2 linked regions of the Drosophila melanogaster genome follow. The protein of the gene in region 2 purifies or fractionates together with the protein of the main gene of each other region. This does not show direct contact. Each region holds a gene or a part of one and is shown on either strand. Other genes may lie near its edges.

Evidence for each region.
Region 1: the proteins of h-cup (region 2) and Slmap purify together in Drosophila melanogaster (affinity purification with mass spectrometry, with the first as the bait; one large-scale study listed by BioGRID). This does not show direct contact.

The regions. Positions count from the first base shown.
Region 1 is NT_033779.5:22,576,951-22,580,879, forward strand, and holds the start of Slmap (sarcolemma associated protein), read left to right. Parts: upstream 1-2,121; 5' UTR 2,122-2,302; intron 2,303-2,799; exon of another isoform or gene 2,800-2,870; 5' UTR 2,871-2,890; coding exon 2,891-3,929.
Region 2 is NT_033777.3:15,380,664-15,384,592, forward strand, and holds h-cup (heineken-cup), read right to left. Parts: upstream 2,289-3,929; 5' UTR 2,207-2,288; coding exon 1,436-2,206; 3' UTR 1,219-1,435; coding exon of another isoform or gene 991-1,218; 3' UTR 932-990; coding exon of another isoform or gene 833-931; 3' UTR 744-832; downstream 1-743. Other genes in the region: Rbp (RIM-binding protein), read left to right, coding at 500-665, 833-931, 991-1,218, 2,404-2,527, 2,594-3,072.

The sequences.
Region 1 (3,929 bases), on a different chromosome or scaffold from region 2:
TTTCGCCGTGATGCCAGACCGGGCTTCAGTCTGGGCGCCACACTACTACTGCCAGGAAGAGTCTTTCCTTTCCTTCGGGATCCAAGGAGAGTAGCCGTTGAAGGCAAATCCACTCGAACGGCGACAGTATCGATAATCCCGTATTTTAGCTGTCTTGTAGAGCTGGAAAAACATTGATGTTTACCTCCATCGATGTATCAATACATCGAAATTTTTAAGGGTGTTTTTTAATGTATTTTAGTCATTATCATATTAAAAATGAATACCAAAACTAAATCAAAATGGGTAAAAGTTCTTTATAAATTTAAAATTCATACTTTGGTGTTTTTATTGCCTGAAAATCAAAATGAAACTTAAAACTACTTTCTCGTCAAACACAAAAATTATAATGAAAAATGAATTCAATTTAAAAGAAAATAAAACAAACATCGATAAAGCTGCAAACTATAATTAAGATATGCACTCATTATACCCGTTACTCATAAAGTAAAAGGTTATACTAGATTCGTTGAAAAGTATGTCAGGCAGAAGGAAGCGTTTCCGACCATATAAAGTGTAAATATTCTAGATCAGGATCAATAGCCGAGTCTATCTGGCCTCTCTCCGTATGAACGTCGAGATCCCAGGAATTTTAAAAAGCTAGAACACAGAAAAAGACGCAGCGCAAGTTGGTTGACCCATGTTGCCACGCACACAAACCTGCCAGCCCCACTCTAACGCCCTAAAACCTCCCAAAAATGCCGCGCAAAACACACATTTTTAAACCTTTTTTCGATATTTTTTTCATAATTCTATTAGTCGCTAAAATTTATATCGATATGCCAAAAACTTTTTACACGCCTACTCTAACGACCAAAAGCCGTCAACCCGGTCACGCCCACAATTTTGAACAATTTGTAAACTTTAACCGTTGCATGCTCTAAAGGTTAAAGTATTGCCTTCAAATCCTCGAAAATGAATATTTTATTCGATATTTACGGCAATAACCAACCCTTTGAGAGTGTTCAGTCAAAGACACTACAATAATTCTTTATTATTCTAGAGACTTTGGTTCAGTAGAACAGTTGCGATAGCAACCTTTGTAATCAAAAATCGTTTCAGCAGGTAAAACGCGCCATTCCAACTGGATTTTCTATACATATATATTTTATTTTCTATAACCTATTTCTATTGTTTCAAACTATATGGGCGTTCATCAATTACTGTGCGGATTAAGTTTGCAATGTTTTCAGAAAAATAAGTTGTTTCGTCGAAATCCGAATCCGCGCAAGTCTGAGCCAATGTAGTAGCGTAGAGCACTTGTTTTCGATTCGTCAACGTTTCATTATTTTGTCAATAAATGACAGAATTGACTGCTGTTGCCTTTGTGGCAATTCACTGACTGTTAAATTAATATGTATCCTCATTACGTGGCAAGACAAGTTAGTATTATTCGCACTTGTTTGGTGTCTTGCCCCACTTAATACATTTGTCTGTCTTGCCATTAGCCGATTAGCTTAGCAAGATCTTTCCCTGCAAATGGTGATGGGTAAAACAGAAAAATCTAACATCGATGTCCGAAAATTTCGATGTTTCCGATTTTTTTTTAAATATCTATGTAGCGCTATCTCCGATGTTTCTTCCAGCTCTATTTTGTAGTTTGCGAGATCACAGCCTTCAGTCAGACAGACCGGACCTGATCGAATAGTGTTTATGATCAGGAGTACACTATACTTTAAGGTTCGGAAACACATTTTTATGCCGACTACAAACATACCCTTAACCTTTCTAGCATACGACATTGCTCTAAAACATTTTAAAATTCCGAAATCTCCTTTCTTATTATAACAATTTTAGAAAATTATTTGTTTCTTTTTATTGGAAATGTAATTGCAGAACATTTGTATGCCGACTACAAACATACTCTTAACCTTTCTAGCATACGACATTGCTCTAAAACATTTTAAAATTCTTAAATCTTATTTCTTATAAAAATTTTAGAAAATTATTGTTTGTATTTATTGGAAATGAAATTGCAGAATGGAATGGTTCTATCGTTGCATGTCAACATAGAAACTGGTATATGGTATATAAACTGGTATATTGTATATTATTATATACAATAATGCTTAGCGCTTTTTTCATCGTTCCGTGTTCATCACCAGTTGATTGTCGCTATTTTGACGGAAATATTTTAAGTATGCACACAAATTTACCGCGAAACCAGGTGTTTTTGTACAACAATTGTTCAAAGTTAAAGAAAACTAAAAAACACGGGTAGAAGGTTGCAACAATTAATACAGGAAAATTACAAAATTCCAAGGTAAGCCAAGCGTGCATTGTAAAATAAAGGTAAAAACGTTGCGCAATATCAAACATTTATATTATTGCGAATTTAATGTTCTTGAACTTAAGCGGTCCTCCCCGTACCATATAATTTATTTTTAAATCAAAAAAGTAAACAATTTCCAACCGTTCCAAACATTTTTAATGCCTGGTTTAAGTTGTCGTAATTAATCGGCACATCCTTAACTCGAAAATTGCTTAATTCATAAGAATGACCAACTAATGGCATAGTTTTTTGTTTACAATAATTCTTGAAAACATTGCTATTGAACGTACATATTTTTGTATCAAATGCAAATTCATTCTGTATGTATGTATGTATGTATGTATGCATTTACATATGTGTGTATATCTTATGTGGTCGGAAACCTTTTCAAATTTTCATCGGGAAAAGACAAATTTTATAGTTACATTAAATTAAAGCAGGCCTTTAAAATTTGGATTCATTGTCAATGTTTCGGCTAGTCGGATTTGTCAAACAGCAGCCACTCGTGTATTACTAATTACTAACTTGTTAATCCGCTTTTGTTCTCGTATCCCCAAAGGTTTGTTTGGATGTAAAGTAATGGTCTTGGTGTGCAATGAGTGGTTAAAAAATAATGTTGATGAAGACCAGACGTCAAGTTCATTATCGCCGACGCCAGCATCAGGAGCAGTCGGATCAACGGCATTAAACAGAACTGGCACAACCGACACGGCCACGGAATTACCTCAGACGACCAGATATCCATCCGGGGAAGAACCTGCTGTGAAGCCAGAGGAGGCGCAATACGCTTTAAACATGGAAACTGAAAAAAATTTGGAGCAGGACAATTTCTTTCATATAATGGACATAAAAGAAGATATGGCTGATAGTAACAACGAGGCGTCCACGAAGAACCAGGAAAATAATAATATGGAACTTTGTGATTCCAACACAGTATGTATTGACCGACGTCCGGCTGAAGTTTCCCAGCATGCTATGAATATGGCCATGAACTCTGTGCTGAATGCAAATAACACCGGGGTTGGAGTTCGAGTAACTACTGCCTGCAGTCTGTTTAGCCCACTAGGAGTACTAAACAATAGTGCTTTACAAAGGGAGGTGGCATCGGAATGCGGCACTTTACAAGTCTCTTCAGTGCCCCCAACTTCTGGCGTAGATCTAGACATAGGATTGGAGTCTGCCCCAACGCCATGTAAGGGTGCAGCAAAAATCGTACTCCTATGTGAACCAAAGTCGCACAAGTTTGAAACGAGATCTATATTGCTGCAGCCCAACCAGGATTGCAAGGTGGGCCGCCTTATAGCTAAAAGTAAGGCGGGTGAGGGGAACGCTATATTTGACTGTAAAGTATTGTCAAGAAACCATGCGATTTTGTGGTACACTCCAGACGGTAAATTCTGGGTCAAAGACACAAAATCCAGCAACGGTACCTTTATTAACGACAACAAGTTGGGTAGTGATCCAGCGGAACTACATTATGGCGATATTGTGAAGTTCGGCGTTGAGGTAATTGAGAATTCACGTCAGGAGGTACACGGGTGTATCCTGGCCCGTGTCGCCCTCTTTCTACCCAATGGACAAGAGGCCATTTCAGTTGAGGCAGAGCAGATGATGTTGA
Region 2 (3,929 bases):
GCTCAGTTCGAATTGGTGTGCCAGCTAAAAAGCAAGGCGAATTAAAATAGAAATAATTTTAATTAAACCTTTGGCATACCGTTGACCATAAACCATAAACGACAGCTTGTGCTGCAAACTATGAAATTAAGATAAGCGTTTGAATGAGCCGAGCCGACCAATATAAGATTTTGTAGGCTGTGCGTGGACAATAAATACGGTCAGGCAGGCAATTAACCCAAAGTTCAAAGTTCGCAACAATCCAAACACACACACGTACACGTACACGCACACACACTGAACCCCAAGGACACGTGCGTGCCAGGCAGCTGACCTATTTCCACATTCGCCAGGCAGCAGGCACCAGCCATCAGGCGCATGAATAAATAAGGGATAATAAAAGCAGCAACTAGTTATAGCTGCCAAGTCCTGCAGTCTTTGCCCAGCGGCAGTTCGTCCATTCGTCGTGCTGCAGATTCACTGACCCCATTCTCATGTGCGATTATCGCTTCCATTGCAGTCGTCCGAGGGGCAGCCACAGCATGCCGTACGAGTCGATGCACCATCATCAGTCGGCGGCCGCTGCCGTGGCCGCTGGCACCACCCCCAACGGAATGCTGGACGCCCTCAGCCTGCAGCTGCGCGATGCCGAGATGCGGCGCACGGAGATCGAGCGGGCGCATCAGGTGAGTGTCCTTCCAGGTACCGTGAACTCATGCACATATTAATGGAATTTCAGATGAAAAACTATGGTACTATAGTTTGATTTTAAGAACAGTATATTGCAATTGTATTGTTATAGGATTTATAGAACATTTTGTTTATCTGTATTTATATATATATGCTATCCTAGGAAACCCTGGCACAAATACGCAATCTGAGCGGTAGCGCTCGTCCCGATGCCGAGGCGGTGGAGAATCTGCAGTCGAGAGCCCGGGAACTGGAAAAGAAGGTGACTATATGCCCTCAAATCATATCTACTCAATCGTATTGAACTCTAAAAATCCATAGGTTGCGCTGGAAAATGTGCGCTGCGAGGAGCTGCAAATCGAACTGACGTCGGCTCTGAAGGCCAAACAGGCATCCCGCTCGGCCTGCTCCGGAATGGGGAGCGTGTCCTCCGGTGGCGGCGCGACCATTCCTACATCGGCCAGCAGCTCCACCGTCACTTGGGCACCGACAATCAGCCACCAGGACCAAGGATCCGAGATTGATATCATAATGGCAAAGATTGAGCAGGTATTTAAGTGCAACTAATCTCCTAGGAGTGCAAATGGTATATAGATCTTTATGAAAGAACAGCAACAGCTAACAGACAGCTAGTAGTGTGTGGATAGTGTAGCCTCGAATGAAATTATATTTCGGGTACCAAGTACCAAGTATTCAATCAACGTAAACAGCCAGTGTTGCAGTGGGGCAGGAACGTGTGTTGTGCCTATTCGTCCATGTTGTAGGTCTACTCCTCGGGCTTCTCGGCCAGAGCCTCCTCAATAAAGCAAGTGACTTCCAGCTCACTCAGCAGCGAATTGTTGGATGAGCACTCCGAATCATCCTCCACGCTGCTCGGCGAAAGGCAGGAGAGGAAGCTATCTATGCTGTAGATGCTATTCTCCCGGGTGGCACTCGAATCCAAAGAATCGTTTGGTCCGATCTGAGTGCTACTTTCGCTGGAGCTCAGTGCTCCCTGGCGGAACAGCTCATCGGTGGTACTGATCTGCAACTGACGACGCAACTGCTCATTTTCATCAGTCAGCTGGCAAATGATCTGCTGGTTCTCGGCACTGCTCCGGTCCTCGAAGTCGACAGTTAGCTTCATCACATCAACCATACGCTCGATGCGGGCATCCTGCTCTTCGACCACCTTCGACAAACCGGCCAGGTAGTGCTCCCTCAGTTGGTAGGTATCGATTAACATGTCCCCTTCGCTGTGCTCACGGTACTTCTCCATGATCAGCTCAATGCCGTGTTGGAACTCAACGCCGGTCGCCTTGAGCTCGATGTTTTCCCGCAGCAACTGCATCTGCTCGTCGTCGTCGTTCTTCTCCGTCAGATGCTTCAGCAGCTGATCCTCGCGAAACTTGTGGCAGTTGGCCAACTCCTGATCCACCATTTTAGCATCGATTAGCAGCTCATCGGTCTTGAACTCCAGTTCGTCCAGGCATTTGGCAAAGTCCTTGTACTCCTTGATAAGACCGCTTTCGGCTCCGGATGGCACCGAGCTATCCATCCGTCCAATCTGGTTTGGATTGCTCACGTTGAATTTGGATTTTTTTCTATACAAAATTGTCTACTTCGGACTTCTCAGGGCAGTTGGGGAAATAATAGATCAATGCTAAAGTAATAGCCTATTAAGATGTACATTCAAGTTCTCTAGAGAATTGTCATTTTACTACAAATCTATCTATCCTTATTGCCTAATTGCAGGATAATCGCGTGCTGGCCGAGCTGGAACAACCTCGCACCTCGGCCAGCGCCAGCATGTCAGCATTGCCGCCCAGTTCCATGTTGAGCACGGTAAATAGCGAATTTAGAACCATATCAAAGAGTGGTAAGCAAGCCAGAGATAACACTAATACAGAAATAGAATATAGAATGGAATTTGTAATGCCCGCAGAACTCGAAGAAGAACTGAACCGCTACAAAAGAGCAGTTCTGGGAGGAAGCGGAGGAGGAGGAGGTGGCGTCGGCGGCGGCGGCGGCGGTGTCTCCGCCCTATCCTCCGGCTACTCAAGCCTGCCGCAATCGCTGGCCTCCACGCTGCCCAATGGTGGGGCCAGCACCAGCTTGAGCGGCACCAGTCTTGGCTCGCACAGCGCGGCCGCCGCTGCTGCCGCCCACAGCGTCTCCGCTGGATCGGGAGGCGTGGTCGGGGGCGGCGGCCAAGGCGGCCTATCATCCATATCGGCCCTGGTGCCCAACTCAATCAGCGGCATATCCTCGAGTCTAAGCAGCCATGCCATTCAATCGATGCAGTACGGAACCGGACAGACGTCCGTGGAGAAACTGCTGAGCGGAACTAGTGGAATCACTGGCATTCCACCCCTGCCGGTAAATATTCACACGATGAAGGCTATGCCAACGGCATTAAGTCAGGTAAACCACCTATTTTCAATCGCAATGAACTACGAACAACAACAGCAACCACAGCAATTATGTACCGCTGCCGATCGATTTGCTTAAAAGCTTGCCACATCTAGAAAGTGCTATATATATGCGTTATAAGTTGTATGTAAATTCGATCCGTTTGAGTAGCCATATAGCCTAGCCATATAGCATATAGCATATATAGCGACCATCCGCTTCTGTTGATCGTCGCTGCTGCAGCCACCGGCCGTTTGTTGTAGTCTCATTACTGATGAAAATAAATACATTCACATCGAAAGCCACCCACCGAATATCACATTACACTGAATCACAAACACAACCATTTAAAAACTAAATCGTTTGAGTATCTGTATTCGACCTTTGATTGCCTGTTACATAAGTATTCTCTGTATCATTGAAATCAAATTCGCTGGCATGCTATAAAATTTCATTGTAAATCACTCGTATCGAGGATGGTATTAGTTATAAATGTCACTAATATTATTCAAATGTATATTCATATATCATTGGTCATGCACAAATCGAAGAACTGCTTCTTATACTCAGTTCATTTCTTGCAAGCTAATCAAATAGTTTTGAAGCATTCCTTCGAAGTTCATATATTGTTAAACTGATTGTACACAACCTAGCTCATGCATCTGCTGCATTTACAGACATATACATACTTACTAAGTTTATATCTCTTGAAGGAGTTACATGTTTGAAAGCTTTCCGTTACTCGTTGATAAACTTTTTAATGGTGATGATTGGATGCTAGCCGTGTTGCATAACCACGAATCCTCGCTTGGAGACGGCTTAAGTTAATTGCAGATTCAATAGGCACTCATGACCAGCCGAAAATCACC